4 linked regions of the Arabidopsis thaliana genome follow. The protein of the gene in region 1 interacts with the protein of each later gene in a pairwise test. Each region holds a gene or a part of one and is shown in the gene's direction. Other genes may lie near its edges.

Region 1 (4,329 bases):
CCTCCTTCTCCTTCTCCTTCTCCTTCTCCTTGTCCTTCTCCCAAGGTGTAGGGATGGTGACCGATGATGATGAACCCAACACCAGTGTAGTTAGATGTTTTAAATCCGGGTTAAAATAATCCTCACGACTTCTGGAGACCATGAGAAGAGCTGGATCACCTGATTGCTGACGCTGTGTCAATTGTCTTTGTTGGAAGAATGGAGATTCGATCGATGATTTCCATTGTTTCGATACAGCCGTGAATCTCAGCAGAGAATCCACAGCAAGTCTTCTCTAGGATGCGCTCTACGACCTCGTGGGGCAGCGATTCCATCCTCAAGCAGCGTTGCTTTTTTGACATTCTTTTTGTGATTGTTTTGTTGAACAGGGGCTTGCTTATTTATAACCAGGAAAAGAATAATTCTTCTTTATCCTTGATTTCCTTTTCCTTAAGGAAAAAGGATCTTCCTAACCGCTTTGAACCCTATCTCTCTGTTTTTCGGTTTTCCCTTTTACTTCTAGGGTTTTCATAAAGCCTTGGAACCCAATTACGTGTTTTAAACCGACGGTCATGATCTTGTCTTCAGGATCAGATATATATTATTCGACACATCGTGGGACCCACCACTATTCTGACTGGGTCTGCCTGCTTTCCGGTTGCTTCCAATAATGTCGAACCAAAAAGCCACGAACGCTAAATAAGAATCTACTTTGCAAGTCTAAGAGATTCATGCAATAATTCTTCACTAATGTTGTGGGTTTTGAAAACATTAGGTATTGCAAGAATATAGATTTTGTAAACACACCCTAATGATCTCAAACCTTATATATATGGTTAACAATCTAATCCCATAAGTATTCCCATTTCACAACACTCATATATTGTTAGAGCTATATGAAGTAAGGTTACATTACAACTTTTTGTTTACTATAAAAACAAAAACTACAGGCTATAAATGCCAAGGTTTAGAACAACTTAGGGGCGTTACTCTTACAAAACTTGTGGCGGTATAGTGGTCATCTCTGTGGCAATCTACCTTCAATGTGTGAGGGTTCGATCTCAAGCTTAGCTTATATTTGTAATTTTTTATTAATCAACAGTCCGAATATTGTTTTAAACCTGATTCATAAACAAACATTATAAATTATAAATTATAGATTGTATCATATTATTCAAGAAGTTGTGAAAATAATCACGGCTTATGTGAGTTTGTCTTATGGTCCTATGACTCCTAATCCATGCGAGGCTATTTGATGATTTATTATATCACTTTTGTATTATTTTGAGTTCATTGATCAAAGTTTTTTGTTTGGATAAAGGGAAAACGTAAAGCATTTTGGAACGAAATTCATAGAAAAATCTCTTACAAAGAAGAAGAATATATGCCATTCATATTTCTGCACATATGTTTGGTTGCTTTAATCTTTCGACCCCTTTTTCCAAAATGTTAGTATTATATGTTAAGTTTATAAGTTTTAACCAAACAAGAGGAGCTAACAGAAATCGAATTAACGACTCAAATTATGTTTTGTATAGAAAAGAGCAAATTGACTTTGGTTGCATTTGAATCTCGTGACTAATGGAACGGCCTTTTTTTTTTTTTTTTTTTCATCGTCTCTCACCTTTTCCAAGTAGTTTGGATCGAAAAGCTTTCACGAGAAACCTAAGAAACTTTCCAGGAAAGTTTTGGTTCACATACGCATTAACTCACACCATTCACCAAGCTTTCTCGTGCCCCTTAACCACAAACTTTGCTTTTTTTAACTTAGTCCATTGCATCTTTCTATATACATTAACATGTTTCCTTTCCATACTAGAAGAAAAATATCTTCTCTTGTGTTTCAAATTATCAAATTGCTCTGATCAATGGAGAGGAAACAGTCAAATGCTCATTCCACTTTCGCCGACATCAATGAAGTTGAAGATGAAGCAGAGCAAGAACTGCAACAGCAAGAGAACAACAACAACAAGAGATTCTCTGGAAACAGAGGACCAAACCGAGGGAAACAAAGACCATTCAGAGGTTTTAGCAGACAGGTTTCGCTAGAGACAGGTTTCTCAGTGCTCAACAGAGAATCTAGAGAAAGAGATGACAAAAAGAGTTTACCGAGGAGTGGTCGTAGCTTTGGCGGGTTTGAATCAGGTGGAATCATCAACGGTGGAGATGGTCGGAAAACAGATTTTAGTATGTTTAGGACTAAATCAACGCTCAGCAAACAAAAGTCTTTATTGCCTTCTATAATAAGGGAGAGAGACATTGAGAATTCTTTAAGAACTGAAGATGGTGAGACCAAAGATGATTCTATAAATGAAAATGTTTCTGCAGGAAGATACTTTGCTGCTCTTAGAGGACCTGAATTGGATGAAGTCAAGGTAACAACTCTTCTTCTTTCTCTTTCTCTCTTCAAAACTTAATTATCAGTTAGTTCCAATTGTACTCTCTTGCAGGACAATGAAGATATTCTGCTTCCAAAAGAGGAGCAATGGCCGTTTCTCCTAAGGTTCCCAATTGGATGCTTCGGTATCTGTTTGGGACTTAGCAGTCAAGCTGTCTTGTGGCTTGCCCTAGCGAAAAGTCCTGCAACAAACTTTTTACACATCACACCATTGATTAACTTAGTTGTATGGCTATTTTCACTGGTAGTTTTAGTCTCTGTGTCCTTCACTTACATACTCAAATGCATCTTCTACTTTGAAGCTGTCAAAAGAGAGTATTTTCATCCTGTTCGAGTCAACTTCTTCTTCGCTCCTTGGGTGGTTTGCATGTTCCTAGCCATTAGCGTACCTCCCATGTTCTCACCAAACCGAAAATACCTCCATCCCGCCATTTGGTGTGTTTTCATGGGTCCTTATTTCTTCCTCGAGCTAAAGATCTACGGGCAATGGCTTTCGGGAGGGAAGAGGCGACTATGCAAAGTCGCAAACCCATCTTCTCATCTTTCTGTTGTAGGGAATTTCGTCGGGGCCATCTTAGCTTCAAAAGTTGGATGGGATGAAGTAGCTAAGTTTCTATGGGCAGTAGGTTTTGCACATTACTTGGTTGTGTTTGTAACACTTTATCAGAGACTTCCCACCAGTGAAGCTCTTCCTAAAGAGCTTCATCCTGTTTACTCTATGTTCATTGCTGCCCCATCAGCAGCAAGTATTGCTTGGAACACGATATATGGCCAATTCGACGGATGTTCAAGAACTTGCTTCTTCATTGCACTCTTCCTATACATATCCCTAGTTGCTCGGATCAATTTCTTCACTGGATTTAAGTAAGTCCATCTCGGGTTTAAATATTCTTGGTTGAAGATATATGTTGATGATACTAAGTGGCTACGGGGTTTTGCAGGTTCTCAGTGGCGTGGTGGTCATATACTTTTCCTATGACAACAGCATCCGTAGCAACAATAAAGTATGCAGAGGCAGTACCTGGTTACCCGAGCCGGGCTCTAGCACTCACTCTTTCCTTCATTTCCACAGCGATGGTCTGCGTTTTGTTTGTCTCCACGCTTCTCCACGCCTTTGTCTGGCAAACGTTGTTCCCAAACGATCTTGCAATTGCCATTACAAAGAGGAAACTTACCAGGGAGAAGAAGCCTTTTAAAAGAGCTTATGACTTGAAGCGCTGGACCAAGCAGGCTCTGGCGAAGAAAATATCTGCAGAAAAAGATTTTGAAGCAGAGGAAGAGTCGCATCACTGATGTAAAATCATGGAATACAGAAGTATCTTTTAGATCGAAATAATAGTTCAGAAAAACACTTAGATATAGAGACAAAAGTAGGTGAGATAGCATATTGTATGTATCTCCAGAAGCATGTTTAATAGTAATACTACATCAATAATACAGAACCCAAAAATCACATTCACATTTCAAAGCTAGCTGAAGAAGAGATCACACAAGAAAGAATTCACGGTTTGACATGAATCAAACAGGCAAAGAAATGGTCCTCTGGTTTGCTAAGTTGGTCTCTGATCGGAGGTCCCATGAAGTAGAATACTGTGAATCCTCAGGTTTAATAAAAGGCAGAGTGATCTCATTGATCATTAATTCTCCACAGAACGGGCATTCGCTGGCAATAGCATCATCTAGCTCTGATCGAAGCTGCCTCACCGTAAAGAAAATATGTCAGGTCACAGAAAAATGTTAAAGAAAAGATTAAAAAAGGAAAAGAAAATGTCCCTACCTTGTCTGCAGTTGTTGTGCTTGTTATGGGTTCATCAGATCGGTTACCATTTATATCCCTCCGGGTTTCGCTTCCAAGCAATGTCAGTTGCTTCTGCAGATCGAGTATATGCTCGGCCTAGACAGATTTTGGGAAAACCAATCAAAAAATGGAATCACAATAACGAACAAATATT
Region 2 (6,317 bases), on another chromosome or scaffold:
ATTTACTAGTTTATCAAACTTATAATAAGTTTTTGCACAACTATATATATATATATAGAGCATACTAGCTTATCAAACTCATAATATATTTAGAGTTTACTAGTTTATCAAACTCACTAGCTTATCACACTTACTAGCTTATCAAACTTAAGAAGTGGCAACACAACAAAATTAAGTTCAAATCATATCTTTTATTTAAATTTGTTTTTTCATGGCTTTAAATAACATTGTAAATAGCTCTCATTATCCCAAGAAAAAACAAACTTATCTTTCTCTCATGAGTAATCAACAACTTCTAGTCATCATCGCAAAGGAAAATTCAATATTATACAAGGCCCAATCAAAGCCTTCGTAGCGGCGAATTAAAGAGATCGATACTATTTTTTTAGAGTATATATACTAACTAACCTTTGACAACAAAAGAATAAAGAGAATAACCATAGATAAAAAGTATGAGAGAGAAAATAACTTTTACACCTCATTTATGACACTTTTACCCTAACTAAACCAAACCGTACATTAATTTTTTATTTCTCCGAAACCATCATCACCTTCTCCATAACCATCTCCATCACAATAACCACCACAAGCTCTAGTAAATCATTTGACTATAGCCGTTCACGGTGTTGGTTTTCATCAATTTGGTGGTTCAACCATTGAGCTCTTCCATTTATTTGGTCTATATAGGATTTACCTATTTCCGATATCGTTTCTTTTTAGAATCTGAGATTTGCTTTCACCCTCAAAAGTTTAAGATTTTCTTTCAATGTTATGTTATCATTTCATATATCATGTTACTTTTATATTAGGCATGTATTTTGTCTAAAAGCAGTGTATTTATTTGACATGATCTGCACTTTTTAAATAATTCATGTCCTCTATTGTAATCACGTATCTTATTCCTACCCATCCAAACAATAAGATATGTTTCTTTTGAATAATGCATGTTCATTTTATATTAGACATGCATTTTCTAAAAATACATGGTATTATATAAAAGATCTACACCTTTTAAATATTTCATGTTCTCTACTGTAATATTATTCATACCTATCCGAACAATAAGATGTATTTCTTCTGAATAATGCATGTTCCTTTTATAATTGTCATGTATTGTTTTAATAAAATATTAATTCATTTAGATACTATGTTGTCTGTAAATAATTCATGTTTTTTATTCAGATGTTAATCAACTCTGATTTATTATCACTGGCATTATTGTAGAAACAAGAAAATAGAAAGATATTTTTTAGTATTTATTCTACTTTAAAAAATGTTATTTATCTAAATTTTCTGACAAAAAATTATTTTTTTAATTTTGTTTAATTTTATGGTTATTTTTTATCATTAACCTTTTTTTTATATCAGCTGTAATGGAAAAATATATCAAAGTAATATTGACACTATTTTTTTTTTGAAATTAAAAATAATATTGACACTTGACAGTTCGAAATTCAATACTTTTCTAATTATAAATGGAATATTCTGTACCCGTCCAATAAAACAAGGAATTTTTCCGTTCCAGAACAAATATTCGAAATTTTTTTACCATAAAATTCCTTTGAAAAATGTAAGTCAAATTTAATTTATTTTAAATATAATTAATTTATTGTGGATATTTTATTTTCAGCAAATTGACAAAGACAAAAGACAATTTACTTAAACAGTTCTATCTATTACACTCAGAAATTGACGCGACTGATAGATAATTCCAATTCCAGTCAAACAAAACCTTCACAACTCAATTATTCTTCCGATTTTGGTTTCTCTCTTCCAATCATCCTTCAAGCTCATCTTTTTCTTCTACCCAATAACGAAAGTCTCCTCCTTTACTAATGGGTTGCTTCAGCAGTAAACACCGGAAAACTCAAAACGACGGCGGAGAAAAATCAATCCCGATCAATCCAGTTCAAACCCATGTAGTCCCCGAGCATCGTAAACCTCAAACCCCAACACCAAAACCCATGACTCAACCAATCCATCAGCAGATTTCAACACCGTCTTCAAATCCAGTCTCAGTTCGAGATCCAGATACGATTTTAGGTAAACCATTCGAAGACATCAGGAAATTTTACAGCTTGGGGAAAGAATTAGGTCGAGGTCAATTTGGGATTACGTATATGTGTAAAGAGATTGGTACTGGTAACACTTATGCTTGCAAATCGATTCTTAAGAGGAAGCTAATTAGTAAGCAAGATAAAGAAGATGTGAAGAGAGAGATTCAGATAATGCAGTATTTGTCTGGACAACCTAACATTGTTGAGATCAAAGGTGCTTATGAAGATAGACAATCTATACATTTGGTTATGGAGTTGTGTGCTGGTGGTGAGTTGTTTGATAGGATTATAGCTCAAGGTCATTACTCTGAGAGAGCTGCTGCTGGTATCATTAGGTCTATTGTCAATGTTGTTCAGATTTGTCATTTTATGGGTGTGGTTCATCGAGATCTCAAGCCTGAGAATTTCTTGCTTTCGAGTAAAGAGGAGAATGCTATGCTTAAAGCTACTGATTTCGGTTTGTCCGTCTTCATCGAAGAAGGTTAGCTAGAGACTCAATATAGCCTTTTTTGGTCTTTGGTTTTGGATTGTTAGTGTTTGGAATCTATAAGCTTGTCTAGTCTCTTTAGTGTCAAAGATTAAGAGTTTGGTAGTTCATTGCATTGTGATCTCTAGCTTGAGTACTTCTTGTTTTCGAGTAACAGTGAGAGTGTCATGGTCAAAACAATTGATTTTGTGTTTTCTCTGTTCATTGAAGATTGATCATATTCTTTGGTATTTAAGATCTGCACTTTTTTTTTCCGTTGATCATGAGCTAGATTGTTGTCTTATGTTCCAATGCATAGGGATGAGACTCAAGACACTTTAGTACCGAGAATCGAGTTTATCTTGTCTTTTGTACACATCTTTATGATATTGTCAAGTATGTAATTTTCATTAGTTTGATTCTTATGTTAATATGCTTCATGATATGTCTGTGAAACCAACAAATGCAGGAAAAGTTTACCGGGATATAGTTGGGAGTGCTTACTACGTTGCTCCAGAAGTATTAAGGCGAAGTTACGGAAAAGAAATCGACATTTGGAGTGCAGGTGTCATTTTATACATCCTACTCAGCGGTGTACCTCCTTTTTGGGCCGGTAAAAGACCTTTAAGCTAACCAAATTCATTGATTTGTTTTCTTCTTGAGGTGTGATCTATATTCATATGTTATATTTTAGAAAATGAGAAAGGAATATTCGATGAGGTCATAAAAGGCGAAATTGATTTTGTAAGTGAGCCATGGCCTTCTATATCTGAAAGCGCGAAAGATCTTGTTAGGAAGATGCTAACCAAAGACCCGAAGAGACGAATCACGGCTGCACAGGTTCTTGGTAAGACAATGTGAATACCAGTATTTTTTTCCCACTCCTGTTTGTATAGAATGCGTGATTACATATTTTAGAGGCTCAAAGCCAGAACAAGATAGTCAGTCCATTGTATAGGACCTCTAGGTCTAAATAGACTCTAGTGAATGTTGAAGTCTGATCTTGTTCTTGTCTTTGAGTTTATGGTCGTCTAACTAGTAATGCTTTACTAATATGTAGCCATCCTTATGGTTTATAGAACATCCTTGGATCAAAGGGGGAGAAGCACCAGACAAGCCTATTGATAGCGCTGTGTTATCCCGCATGAAGCAATTCCGAGCAATGAACAAGCTTAAGAAGCTAGCTCTAAAGGTAAAGAAGTGGCTGAAATTTTTTATGAAATTATCTTTCTTTATTACTAATTTTGCATTTCAATTATCCACTTGCAATCTCTCTATGCTCCATATTGCAATGCCTCATATCTACTGGTGCCTGAAATTTTGGTTGTAATTTGTGTATTCTGTTTTCAGGTTATCGCGGAGAGTCTATCAGAAGAGGAGATTAAAGGTCTTAAAACCATGTTTGCGAATATAGATACCGACAAAAGCGGGACAATCACTTATGAAGAACTCAAAACTGGGCTAACTAGACTTGGGTCTAGACTCTCGGAAACTGAAGTTAAGCAACTCATGGAAGCCGTAAGTTATCTTCAGCATCTTGGCTTCACTTTCCACTGTTAAGGTTTTGAAAAAGCTTGAAACACATGATGATAACGTTTCAGGCTGACGTCGATGGTAATGGAACAATCGACTACTACGAGTTTATCTCTGCGACAATGCATAGATACAAATTAGATCGAGATGAGCATGTATACAAAGCATTCCAACACTTTGATAAAGACAACAGCGGGTAAGTTTTTCCATTTTCAGTTTATGAATTAGTCTCCATTGTTCATTTCTTGTGTCATGGAGACTAAGTATCAGATGTGTACAACTATTATCATGCACCAATGTTAATAATGGCTTGGTTATACAACAGGCACATAACTAGAGATGAGTTGGAAAGTGCCATGAAGGAATATGGAATGGGAGATGAAGCTAGCATCAAAGAAGTTATATCCGAAGTTGATACCGACAATGTAAGTTGCACTCTCTAACATATAAGCCAACATCTCAAACATTAAACTGGTTCTTGAAACCTTGTAATGAACTATGTTACAGGATGGAAGAATAAACTTTGAAGAATTTTGCGCGATGATGAGAAGTGGCAGCACGCAGCCACAGGGGAAACTGCTTCCATTCCATTGATCAAGTCGGCATAAATCCCAACGGTTTATCAACCGAAAGCGATTCTTGAACCCAGAGTAGAAGAGCTAAACCGGGGGTAAACCGAGGTGAGCATAGTTGATATACTGTCTCAAAATGTTGTTCTATCTTCTCTGTGTTTGAACAGATTTATTTATCCTTCTCCTTAGTTAGTCTGAAACTGATTTTGAGAGACTGTCATGTCTTAGCTCCTTGTAACAGTAACATATCCACTTATATTTTTTTGAAACTTTCTTGAGAACTTTCTTAATCCTTATGAGCTTTAAGTGTAATCTTTTGCTAGTAATAGTTCCTTAGGAATCTCTCTTATCACTTCTCAATCCAAGATACAAACTCAAGAACTCTAACAATGGAGATTTGTTCAAGAGATTTCTTAACTCTTCTCTAGCAAACGATAAGTTTGTTACACACACATCTATACATGCATTAATGCATAACTTTTTCAATACTCTTCTATCTATTTATATACAACTCTCAATTGGTTACACAATCTGTTTCTTCTTGCTCTGTTTTAACTCTGTTTCACGTGCCTTCTCTGCTTCTCTTTGCTTATTCACGAGCCTCAACGAATCCTTTTGAGCTACCACACGTGCCTCCTAGCTTATCAATACTCTTGCCCTCGAATAATGTAGCTTGTTCTCAGGCGCAAAAGAAAAACATTTTGCTGTTGCATCACTGTTACTAAATCCAATGTGACTTCTACTCCCAATAATCTGCTCAAGCACTGATTGAATCTTTTTATATGTTTCAACTCCTTGAGACACATTCTGCTTCATGTCAGATTCGATTTTCTCAAGCTTAGTGACTTCATGTTGCGCACATTTCTTCCTTGGTTCTTTGGTGATTCGTATTTATCACTTTGGTTGTCTTTGTTTCTAGGAAGAGCTAAAAAGTTATTCTCAAATACAAAAAGAGCGAGTGGAGACCAACGAGCTGTTGGCCCAGTGTTAAATTTTTTATGTAGAGGTGCTGGGTTCGAGGTATATTGAGAGAGATCTCTTATCCAAAGAAGATGTATTTAACCTGGTGTGGGTCCATCTCCCAAAAGAGATGAATCTAACCTGGTGTCGGTCTCGCCTCTCAGAGATATAGGGCCTTTAGCTAGTAGTATCAGTCTATGAACGTCACACGCTTTGTATCATTTAGCCTATAAAGATTTTAAGATATTTTCAAGAGTTTATTATTTAATTTATTTGTTTGGTTATCTGTTTGTAATTATAAATCTGGATGTTCAATATACGTGGGATGCACGAAAGAAGCATTTTTAAGATCAATCTGTCAATTAAAGAATAAATTACAGTACTAATAAATAAAGAAGCAAGAAAAACACACCAATTAGATTAAACGACAAAATGAAATTATTTTAAGGACCAATATTAACGTTGACAAAAACAAGTTAAACAACCAATGACCAATACTATAAATTTGAATATTTAAAGACCAAGTCAGTATTTTATTAATACAAGTATACAACTCAAATTCCAGCTCATAATTCCTACATTTTATACTTTCGGTTTTATACACAAAAGTCGTCTAATAAAGTCTTGGAGGACTTAGTAAACTTACCAACATAAATTTTGAATATTTAAAGACCAAAAACGAATTTAAAAGACCAAAAGAACATTTTTCGTAATGCAAATGTAAAAGCG
Region 3 (5,769 bases), on another chromosome or scaffold:
AAAGAGAAGGAGATCGCAATTGTATCTCACAGTGGCTTCTTGCACGGTCTCTTGAGTTCTTTCGGGAAGGATTGTTGCGATGACCTAAAGAAAGAGTTGTCTATACAGTAAGAGCTTAAACAAAAACTTGATGTCTACAAGCACCAACAATTTGTATAACTTGAAACTGTTTAACTAATCAACATCTTTAACTTTGTTCAGTTTGAGCAACTGTGAGCTTCGCTCAATGGTTATCGTGGATCGAGGGTAAGCAATAATTACAATAAGTTTTGACAGAATATAAATATAATTTGAGAGTGTGTTGGATTATTTATTATGGTGTTGGGTGTGTAGGAACCTGGGGACTGACTCTGCAGAGACCACAAACTATCCTGGGAAGGTTCCTGAAGGACTTGATAATCCTAGTGGCTAAATGGCTGAAGAGTAAGAGAGAGAATTCTGAGATAGTTTTTCTTTCTAAAATAAATAAATTACATGATGTTTCCATTGGACTAGAATCTGGCATTTTCAGTTATTTGATGAACATTAGTGTTGGTATGTAGCCATGTAGGTTGACTCTGCTGCTACATGAATTTATTGTATGATTGTTATTATCCAAAATTTAGCGGTAGCTTTAATATTTCTGCTCCAATTCTCATTTTAGCTGTGATTATACAATTGTGGAAATAATAGCATTACAAGTAGAGGAACTGGTAGATGCAACTAAATTATAAGTGTGAATCTTAGATGAGTAGATTTATCTCTATCAACATGAGAACCAGCAGAAACTTAAAACATTATTTATGTAAGATCAACTTCATATTTTATGGCAGCTGTGTTGAATTTTCTTATGGCCAAGCATTTTAATAAAACAAAGAGAAAATTCCAAAAATTACACTCAGCTTTTCTTATAGTACTAGGTTTTATCTTTTGGTGTTGAGATTTTTTATGAAAATAGAAAATGTTTTAAGTGTTTTTATAGAAGTAGATCAAAGTTTAATGCTCTTCGTACGTTCTATGTATTTGGACTTTAATATAATCGATAATCGTATTCAGATTCTTTATAGAAATTACGCTCTCTCCAAACTATTGGAGAAAGCTTTTACCATTAGGAATTCGAAATTTTTTGTTCCCCAATTTTGAACATATGATAAGATCTTTTAAAGAACACTCGACAATGTAAAATTTAAAGTAGGTCTAGCTTCTTATCCGTTTAAGAGAACGATTTTTTTTTTTAAATGATATGATTCACGGTTTGTAAAGTTATCTATTGGAAAATAAAAAAACTGTAAGTACAATACTGTGATGTCAAAAAGAAAAAAAAAGTACACCCAAACTAAATTTGTACCACGTGCGAGACAAATTGTAGTCTGCGATCTTACTCACTACCCGACAATGACATGCCCCATGCCTTAGTTCTTGTAAGAAAAAAGTGATATCCTATATACTTCACTAATTATTGGTAAAATTATGCAAAACTTTCAGTGCTAAAAGTTTGATTTATACTGTACTAGTTGTTATTTCAACGTAGACATACCAAAATGTTTATTCAAGAAAGCCTATATACTAGCAAAAGTAAAAAAGAATGTGACATCTTTGATGAACCAATGTGAAAAGTCAACATAATAAAACTTGAGTTTTCAGAACAAATTTAGTTGTCCATTGTTTCGATCTGTTAATCAAGACCATAAATTAACTCTTAACTATATGCATCTAATAATAATATTTTGTAGTTAGCTAAGTTAAGCACATCCAACTCTTAAAAAAAGCTAGTATAACGTTAGGCTTATAATCATTCTCTTAATAATAAGTTATCCTAAACAAATTATTGCAATTTTTTATTCTCCCTACTTGCACTAAGTATCATTACACCAGTAAAAGATGATGATCCCTTAAATTAATACTAATTAAACAAGCAATTAAGGAATGAAGAAGGTGAGACGAAACCGCGTAAAAGACCTTTCTTCTTTGCACCATCCTCTCTCCTTCATCATTTCACAAATCCACAAAAGAATCAATCTTTTTAACACTCTCTAATGATTCAACGAATCCAATTACCCAACCAGAAACAGCAACACATATAGAGATATATACTATTAAACAATAACATAACAAAGAAACCATTTTTTCTCTTTTGTTATTGACTTAAACAAAAACTATCAACGAATAATTATCCTTTTTTGAGTTTTTCCCATTTCTTCTTCGTCTCCATTTCATCGTCTTCTCGCTGTTCTGCTATATTCCGGTACTAGATCCTCTGTTTTCTCATGTTTCTTTTATTACCAAATGATTTCTTCATTTATTGTTGTGTCTTTGATTCTTTTTTGGGATCTATAATGATCGATGAACATTTAAAGCTACGACTTTTCAGGAGCTCTTGTCTTTTTTTCTTTAATCTTTGATTATGTTACAAAACAATTATGTTTTTTGAAGCTTGATCTGATGTGGGTTCTTTGATTTCGTTCCAAAGTTTGATACTTTTTTGGCTTCTCTTTATCTGATTTTTTTTGTGTATGTTTGTTCATGAAACAGTTTCGTTGGATGAGGAGAAGAAGAAAGTGAAAAAAGTTGTGAAATAGAGAGAGTTTGTTTCATGGGCAATTCATGTCGTGGTTCTTTTAAGGACAAAATCTACGAGGGCAATCATAGTAGGCCCGAGGAGAATTCCAAATCCACCACCACTACTGTTTCCTCTGTTCATTCTCCTACTACAGACCAAGATTTCTCCAAACAGAACACCAATCCAGCTCTTGTGATTCCTGTTAAAGAACCCATTATGCGGCGTAACGTTGACAATCAATCTTACTATGTTCTTGGTCACAAGACTCCTAACATTCGTGATCTTTACACGTTGAGTCGTAAGTTAGGACAAGGACAATTCGGGACAACGTATTTGTGTACTGATATTGCCACAGGTGTTGACTATGCTTGTAAGTCTATATCCAAGAGGAAATTGATATCTAAAGAAGATGTTGAGGATGTTAGGAGGGAGATTCAGATTATGCATCATTTAGCTGGTCACAAGAATATTGTTACTATTAAAGGAGCTTATGAGGATCCTTTGTATGTTCACATTGTGATGGAGCTTTGTGCTGGTGGTGAGTTGTTTGATAGGATTATTCATAGAGGTCATTACAGCGAGAGGAAAGCTGCTGAGTTGACCAAGATCATTGTCGGTGTTGTTGAGGCGTGTCATTCTCTTGGTGTTATGCATAGAGATTTAAAGCCTGAGAATTTCTTGTTGGTTAATAAGGATGATGATTTCTCTCTTAAGGCCATTGATTTTGGTCTCTCTGTTTTCTTCAAACCAGGTAAGCGTTAGTTGCGAGTTTCTCATTGTTCTGAATCTATTTAAGTACCATGATGTGTTTTGTAGTATACATTACTGTGACTTTCTATTCATCAAATGAGTAAGGGAATGTAAATGTTTCAGCTTTGCATAATGTGTAGTCTTACTCTAATATCAGGCCAAATATTCAAGGATGTTGTTGGAAGTCCATACTATGTTGCTCCTGAGGTTCTTCTAAAACATTATGGTCCAGAAGCTGATGTGTGGACTGCTGGTGTTATACTCTATATCTTACTAAGTGGTGTCCCGCCTTTCTGGGCAGGTATGCGGGCGATATAGCTGTTTCAATGCGTTCTCTTAATTAGTGCCATTGACAAGGTTTCCTGAAGTTTGGTTTTGTGTTTTTGAAATCAGAAACACAGCAAGGAATATTTGATGCTGTGTTGAAGGGATATATTGACTTTGATACAGACCCGTGGCCTGTCATATCCGACAGTGCTAAAGATCTGATCCGGAAGATGTTATGCTCTAGTCCTTCTGAACGTTTGACTGCTCATGAAGTCTTGCGTACGTAATCAATTACACTTAAATAAATGGTTACATTTGGCAGCCACACAACATTAGACTATATCTCTTGTATGTATCTCTTTTTTTTTCAGGTCATCCATGGATCTGTGAGAATGGAGTTGCACCGGATAGAGCACTTGACCCGGCTGTTTTGTCTCGTCTAAAACAGTTTTCTGCAATGAATAAATTAAAGAAGATGGCTTTAAAGGTCAGTTTGTAGTTATACTCAATCTTCTATTGTCTCTGCATCACATTCGTTTGAGATATGTTTACTCATATTAGTGATTATGGAATGATCAGGTGATAGCTGAGAGCCTCTCAGAAGAAGAGATTGCGGGTTTAAGAGCAATGTTTGAGGCAATGGATACTGATAACAGCGGTGCAATCACTTTTGATGAACTCAAAGCTGGCTTGAGAAGATATGGATCAACCTTGAAAGACACCGAGATCCGAGATCTTATGGAAGCGGTAACAATGCATCCTTTTGAGATATGCACACTAGTTCATTTCGCTATATAGATGACAATAACCATACTCTCTGTGTTGTATCTTAGGCTGATGTGGACAACAGCGGTACAATAGATTACAGCGAGTTTATTGCAGCGACGATCCATCTGAATAAACTAGAGAGAGAAGAGCATCTTGTCTCTGCATTTCAGTACTTTGACAAAGATGGAAGTGGTTACATCACCATTGATGAGCTGCAACAATCTTGCATTGAACATGGGATGACCGATGTTTTTCTTGAAGACATAATCAAAGAAGTAGATCAAGACAACGTAAGCTTTGCCTCTTGACATGATTCTTCCACTCTTCACCATTGGTGTTTGCTAATAAAGTTTTGGTTTTTGTTTCTTACAGGATGGACGGATTGATTACGAAGAATTTGTTGCGATGATGCAAAAGGGAAATGCTGGTGTAGGGAGAAGAACAATGAAAAATAGTCTAAACATCAGCATGAGAGATGTGTAGGCACATACACACATCTTTAAATCGTCTATTCGGTGAGGATGCAAATGTTTCCATGGAATCAACATTTGCAATGTTTAATCACAGAGGAGGAAGAGAAACCAGATTCATAGCTGCAGCGAACCAGCTAAATCGTTGAAGGTTTGAGTTAAAAATGTTAAAAACTACTGTATGATTAAAAAATGGTGAAAGATAAAAAAAAAGTGTTAAGTTCTGTTCATCAGTAGCTGTGAGGACTATTTCTATTTTCTCTCTCTCTGTTTTGTTTGTTTGTAACAACTGTTTAAGTTTGGTTTTTATTTCATCTCCATCGTCGAAAGCTTTGACCCTTTTTGGGTTTTTGAAAGATCAAATCATCTTCCAATATAGTACAAATGTGATATACAAGTTGTGTGACAATCTTCCACCTTTTAGTTGTTGTTGCTGTTGTTAGTACACAAACGCATACTCTTCACTTTGGTTTGTTAAACTTTTTAGCTCGGCTTTGGTCGTCTTTTCTCACATGCATACTTCCAAATTGGAGTCATAGCGACAACATTAATACAACTAGTCAACTACTATGTTACAAGTTTCTGTCCACTAATTTCTTTCTCTAATTACATCTGAATCTGTAAGTACATAAACATGTATGTACATATGAACACATGAGTGTGTGTATATACACAAAAATTTATGTAATAAAAGAGCAATAATTGATGTAAAATGTGGAATACTGTATGATGATAGCTACTAAGTCTCAATCATGTAATCAAAGTGATGTCTTAGAACCAAACTTAAGGTTGTTCGAAACAATCAATCATACATTGGTCCCAATGTGGTGGATTGGAACATGACAGGGAAACCATGTGCTCCCACTTATTTATATATATGCATCGTATGTTCGTATGTATTAATGTATATACATTTCACACCACATGCAGTGAGTTATTTATGTCACCTTTTATTTAGTTTTCCGAAAAATGGTG
Region 4 (5,430 bases), on another chromosome or scaffold:
AAAACTAAGACCTATCGCCAGTGGTCTTTTGACACCATTTCAAGGGATTGGATTTCTCGGGCTGCAGTTGCTTTTAGGCTTAGGGATTCTTCTCCAACTTAACAATTACAGGTTTGTTTGGATTTTTTACTTGCCCTAAAGTCGCGTATTTGCAAGTGTTTGTTTAAAAATTCACATACACATATGGTTCACCCTTATGTAGTTGGCCCAAATTCTGAAGATATGTTCTCAGGTCTTGTCTTTAGTTTTGTGATCAAATTCTTTTCTACTTGAGCTCATTTCAGTATGTATATTCTGCAGCCGTGTTTTAGGGGCTTCATCTTTGTTACTTGTCTTTTCCTACCCACTTATGAAGAGGTTTACATTTTGGGTAATTTAAATCTATTCTGGCTTCTCAAAGTTAGACATTATATATTTTCTGATTTTCTTATGATTGATTCGTTTTTATAATTGCAGCCTCAAGCCTTTTTAGGTTTGACCATAAACTGGGGAGCATTGTTAGGATGGACTGCAGTTAAAGGAAGCATAGCACCATCTATTGTACTCCCTCTCTATCTCTCCGGAGTCTGCTGGACCCTTGTTTATGATACTATTTATGCACATCAGGTATATTCACTTTTTATTTTTTAGCTTCAAAATCTATTTGATTATGACCAGTAGCAAAGTAGTTAATCTCAATGTGTGCATATTGCTTGCTTTGTTTTCTTTTTCTAGCTTCACCACCACAGATTTCTTTTTCAGCTTTTGTTTCATGTCTCATGCAAATGCATCCATTTCGATGTTCGACTTTTGTCAATCATAAAGAAGAAAATTACCCTGATCTCCCACCTTTTCCATCTGATTTCTATACTTTAAGTGAAGAGTTAGCCCCATAAAAGTCTTCCCGTTTGCAACAGAAGTGAGAAAAGAAAGTTACCTTTGTGGCCCATTGAAAATGAAATAGTATATGCCACAAGCTACGAACCCAAAATTTCAGCTCAAGTTCAGTTTTTATGCAAGTAATTTTGAGATATTCTAGGTTAAATCATTTTTTTTCCATGGACTAATGTCTAATATATTGTGTCTCCAGGACAAAGAAGATGATGTAAAAGTTGGTGTTAAGTCAACAGCCCTTAGATTCGGTGATAATACAAAGCTTTGGTTAACTGGATTTGGCACAGCATCCATAGGTTTTCTTGCACTTTCTGGATTCAGTGCAGATCTCGGTACTCAATAAACTTTACAAGGACTCATTTGTGATTCCTAATTCCATTTACTGTCTTTTGATTCTTTTTGTTTCTCGCTCTAATGATTAAGGGTGGCAATATTACGCATCACTGGCCGCTGCATCAGGACAGTTAGGATGGCAAATAGGGACAGCTGACTTATCATCTGGTGCTGACTGCAGTAGAAAGTATGAAAATTTGGGTTTATCTTTTGTACTCTTTCACAATCCAATTATGTGATTTGCCTTGGAAAACCTAATAGTGTTTTTATATCTGTACAGATTTGTGTCGAACAAGTGGTTTGGTGCTATTATATTTAGTGGAGTTGTACTTGGAAGAAGTTTTCAATAAAGACTCTCTCTCTGTCAACGAATGAGGATGAAGCTGTAGTGTGAGGAACCTATATATGAAGAATTGAAGTAGACTTTTGAGACACACTGTAAGTGAAACAGAGGACATGGTCTTGCTACAAAGTGGGTCTCCTTCAGGATTGAAATGATCAAGGAGCCATTGCCAGAAAAGCTGAAACTTAACTCTTTTAGATTAGTGACTAGTTACTACTGGTTCTTGTAAAAGAAGCTATTGTTGTTGTTTGGGATCCATGTCTTTTCTTCCAGGAGGTAGTTTGGCTGTATGTATACAATGATCATGACCTTCTGGTCAAACAAGAGGCTTTACTTTTGGCTTTTATAGTTGACATACGCAATATCATTGATTTTGTAACCTAAAGGATGTTAATAACTTTTCCTTTTTCAATCTCAAATTGCAAAAGATTAACATTGAATTAGCCGTGTGATTGATTGGAGAAGTGGAAACAACTAATATGCAGAAGATTTCCACATCCACTAATTTATCTTCCAATGGGACAAATACTTTTGTTTATACGCGGTTCAACTACGTACCAATAAAAACACGCCACGTGGTCATCGTGTCTGATCTCAGACATTAAAAAGCCATAAGAATCGGAGATACAATCTTTCTCTCTCGATTGACTTTATTGACTGAGAGAAAGCTTTTGACAATGGGCCACAGACACAGCAAGTCCAAATCCTCCGATCCGCCACCGTCCTCCTCCTCCTCTTCCTCCGGCAACGTAGTCCACCATGTTAAACCTGCCGGAGAACGCCGCGGATCATCCGGTTCCGGAACCGTCGGATCGTCAGGCTCCGGAACAGGCGGATCTCGTTCCACCACATCTACTCAGCAGAATGGTCGGATCTTAGGTCGGCCGATGGAGGAAGTACGGAGAACCTATGAGTTTGGTCGTGAGCTTGGTCGTGGCCAGTTTGGTGTCACGTACCTCGTAACTCACAAAGAGACGAAACAACAGGTCGCTTGCAAGTCAATCCCTACGCGCCGCCTTGTTCACAAAGACGACATTGAAGATGTTCGCCGTGAAGTCCAGATTATGCACCATCTCAGCGGTCACCGGTAAATCTCTTTTTTTGTATCTCACTGGAAAATGCTTCTTTGACATTTTCCGAAATCGAATCTGAAACGCCTTTTGTTGGAATATTGGTGAATATTTAGACATAGGATTCGTTTTCTATATTAATGAATGGTTTGCATCATATGTGGATGAAAAGTTTGGTGGTCCTATGTTAAACTCTTGAAAAAGTTTCCCTTTTTGCATATTTATATTTACCTGAGTTTCAAATTGGTGAGTTGATTATAGGAACATAGTGGACTTGAAGGGAGCCTACGAGGACAGACACTCTGTGAATCTGATAATGGAGTTGTGTGAAGGAGGGGAATTGTTCGATAGGATCATTTCTAAAGGTCTTTACTCAGAGAGAGCTGCTGCGGATTTGTGTAGGCAGATGGTGATGGTTGTGCATAGTTGTCATTCTATGGGTGTAATGCACCGAGACTTGAAGCCCGAAAACTTTCTCTTTCTTAGTAAAGATGAGAACTCACCATTGAAAGCTACAGACTTTGGTCTCTCTGTCTTCTTCAAGCCAGGTTTGAACAGCCTCTATCCTTCCCTATTTGATTTCTATAGACAATTTATCCCTCTAATGAAGTTGATCCATTAATGCAGGTGATAAGTTTAAGGATCTTGTTGGAAGTGCATACTATGTTGCCCCAGAAGTTCTAAAACGGAACTATGGACCAGAGGCTGATATCTGGAGTGCTGGTGTGATTCTATACATCCTTCTCAGTGGTGTTCCGCCTTTCTGGGGAGGTATTGTCTTGATCTTATTTGAGAAGAGAATTTGGTTTCACTGTTTAAATGTTGGACTGGAATGTATAGTCACGTTCTTTCTGTTGTGCAGAAAATGAAACGGGGATCTTTGATGCCATTCTTCAAGGGCAACTTGATTTTTCAGCTGATCCATGGCCAGCACTATCAGATGGTGCCAAAGATCTTGTGAGGAAAATGTTAAAATATGACCCTAAAGATCGGCTTACAGCTGCGGAAGTGCTAAGTAAGACCCCTTTATAACATGTTTTGATGAATAAATTGATGAAAACACCTTCTTTTATCCAATTTTAATAACGTTTTGATACATACGCAGATCATCCGTGGATTAGAGAAGATGGGGAGGCATCAGACAAACCGCTTGACAATGCGGTGTTATCCAGGATGAAACAATTCCGGGCGATGAACAAACTAAAAAAAATGGCCCTGAAGGTAATTAAAACACTGATTGAAACAGTCTTACCATCACTATTGTAGTTTATGTAGTCTTCTTGTTCTAAAGCCAATCTTTGGTTTTCGTTTTGCAATTTCAGGTTATCGCTGAGAACCTTTCTGAAGAAGAAATCATTGGTCTTAAAGAGATGTTCAAATCTCTAGACACTGATAACAATGGAATAGTCACCTTGGAGGAATTGAGAACCGGTCTCCCAAAACTTGGTTCAAAGATCTCTGAAGCTGAAATAAGGCAGTTAATGGAAGCAGTAAGTCTATCACAATCCACTACTTTGATGTCAAAGCAATAATGCTTATGATGCTTTGTTTCTTTTAGGCTGATATGGATGGAGATGGATCAATTGATTACTTGGAGTTTATATCAGCCACAATGCATATGAACAGAATCGAACGTGAGGATCACTTGTACACCGCATTCCAGTTCTTTGACAATGACAACAGCGGGTAAAACATTGTTCTTTAGCTCTCTATTTCTTTCTTTAACAAGCTATAAATAAAGTCTCACTCTTTGATCTTGATTTGTGATATTAGCTACATAACAATGGAAGAGCTAGAGCTAGCCATGAAGAAATACAACATGGGTGATGATAAATCCATCAAAGAGATCATTGCTGAAGTAGACACCGATCGTGTAAGTATACGTAAATCTCTGGTTTCGTCCAATTCATACATCTGTAAGTATACGTGTAAGTTTAACACTCTCTTCTCATCTTTGTATTCGAATCTTTAGGACGGAAAAATCAACTACGAAGAATTTGTAGCGATGATGAAGAAGGGAAATCCAGAATTGGTGCCAAACCGACGCAGAATGTGAGAGATCTTTTGATGTTGTTTGTTTGTTTTTGGTTATCACTTTACTCAAACTTTGTGTTTCTGTTACAATCAATTATTTTGTTTCCTGCAATCTCTTTTTATCAACACAACATAAAAAATACTTTGAGATCAGAAAGCCATTTGCAGGTTTGGTTAATGACTTATGAGAGATTCAATATATAATAATTACAGGTTGATTCTTGCATGATTTGAAGCTGAAATTCACTTAAAAAATTATAGAATGATAATCTTAACCCTTACAAACAAATTTGAGATTATATCTAATCAAGGCAATAAAAAAATAAGCAAGGTGCAGTAGGAGGGATTAGAAGTTTCAAATCCGATTTTTATACATGAAAAATGACGAAATCTAATAATCTTGGTGACATTTTCTCACAGAGAAATCGGACAACTAAAATGAGTAAAAAAAATTAAAAGAACGAATAAAAAATCAACTGAGATATATATAAAAAAAAAACTGGAAGAAGAAGAAGGACCGCGAGCTTTGGATCGAATTTGTTAAATTTTTCTTCTCTCGATAATAAAAACAACAAATGATCGTTGATCGTTTTTCTCTAGATTCGATTCCGATTCCAAAGAACTAGTCTCCGGCGTGTAATCTCTGATCGTTGAAGATCCAAGCTACGCCGCATCTTACTCGCCGGCGGCTTGAATCATGGTATGTCGCTCCCTTCTCTCGACCGATACGTCGGAAATCTTAAACCCCTAGATTCCTTATTGCTACTCCTGCGGAAT

The links.
Region 2: the proteins of OZS1 (region 1) and CPK21 interact in a protein complementation assay, tested with the Arabidopsis thaliana proteins (one study listed by BioGRID).
Region 3: the proteins of OZS1 (region 1) and CPK6 interact in a protein complementation assay, tested with the Arabidopsis thaliana proteins (one study listed by BioGRID).
Region 4: the proteins of OZS1 (region 1) and CDPK6 interact in a protein complementation assay, tested with the Arabidopsis thaliana proteins (one study listed by BioGRID).

Annotation. Positions count from the first base shown.
Region 1 is NC_003070.9:4,256,768-4,261,096, reverse strand, and holds OZS1 (C4-dicarboxylate transporter/malic acid transport protein), read left to right. Parts: upstream 1-1,796; 5' UTR 1,797-1,847; coding exon 1,848-2,354; intron 2,355-2,429; coding exon 2,430-3,241; intron 3,242-3,318; coding exon 3,319-3,670; 3' UTR 3,671-3,829; downstream 3,830-4,329. Other genes in the region: AT1G12490 (F-box associated ubiquitination effector family protein), read right to left, coding at 1-131, 160-314; AT1G12470 (zinc ion binding protein), read right to left, coding at 3,896-4,072, 4,155-4,271. UniProt on the Arabidopsis thaliana protein: Slow, weak voltage-dependent S-type anion efflux channel involved in maintenance of anion homeostasis.
Region 2 is NC_003075.7:2,393,150-2,399,466, reverse strand, and holds CPK21 (calcium-dependent protein kinase 21), read left to right. Parts: upstream 1-1,707; 5' UTR 1,708-1,835; coding exon 1,836-2,538; intron 2,539-2,992; coding exon 2,993-3,136; intron 3,137-3,217; coding exon 3,218-3,370; intron 3,371-3,602; coding exon 3,603-3,715; intron 3,716-3,873; coding exon 3,874-4,041; intron 4,042-4,124; coding exon 4,125-4,252; intron 4,253-4,381; coding exon 4,382-4,481; intron 4,482-4,563; coding exon 4,564-4,650; 3' UTR 4,651-4,736; exon of another isoform or gene 4,737-5,070; intron 5,071-5,547; 3' UTR 5,548-5,814; downstream 5,815-6,317. UniProt on the Arabidopsis thaliana protein: May play a role in signal transduction pathways that involve calcium as a second messenger. Mediates the phosphorylation and activation of the S-type anion efflux channel SLAC1.
Region 3 is NC_003071.7:7,514,433-7,520,201, forward strand, and holds CPK6 (Calcium-dependent protein kinase family protein), read left to right. Parts: upstream 1-1,897; 5' UTR 1,898-2,224; exon of another isoform or gene 2,225-2,423; intron 2,424-2,511; 5' UTR 2,512-2,572; coding exon 2,573-3,290; intron 3,291-3,446; coding exon 3,447-3,590; intron 3,591-3,682; coding exon 3,683-3,835; intron 3,836-3,927; coding exon 3,928-4,043; intron 4,044-4,135; coding exon 4,136-4,303; intron 4,304-4,389; coding exon 4,390-4,614; intron 4,615-4,696; coding exon 4,697-4,807; 3' UTR 4,808-5,230; downstream 5,231-5,769. Other genes in the region: AT2G17280 (Phosphoglycerate mutase family protein), read left to right, coding at 1-107, 202-246, 334-412. UniProt on the Arabidopsis thaliana protein: May play a role in signal transduction pathways that involve calcium as a second messenger. Functions in abscisic acid (ABA) regulation of guard cell S-type anion- and Ca(2+)-permeable channels and stomatal closure. Phosphorylates FD.
Region 4 is NC_003075.7:12,324,212-12,329,641, reverse strand, and holds CDPK6 (calcium-dependent protein kinase 6), read left to right. Parts: upstream 1-1,990; 5' UTR 1,991-2,226; coding exon 2,227-2,636; intron 2,637-2,880; coding exon 2,881-3,167; intron 3,168-3,246; coding exon 3,247-3,390; intron 3,391-3,481; coding exon 3,482-3,634; intron 3,635-3,724; coding exon 3,725-3,840; intron 3,841-3,941; coding exon 3,942-4,109; intron 4,110-4,177; coding exon 4,178-4,305; intron 4,306-4,392; coding exon 4,393-4,492; intron 4,493-4,591; coding exon 4,592-4,675; 3' UTR 4,676-4,884; downstream 4,885-5,430. Other genes in the region: PPT1 (polyprenyltransferase 1), read left to right, coding at 1-111, 301-370, 457-606, 715-780, 1,070-1,205, 1,297-1,393, 1,487-1,556; TRH1 (Potassium transporter family protein), read left to right, coding at 5,351-5,353. UniProt on the Arabidopsis thaliana protein: May play a role in signal transduction pathways that involve calcium as a second messenger. Functions in abscisic acid (ABA) regulation of guard cell S-type anion- and Ca(2+)-permeable channels and stomatal closure.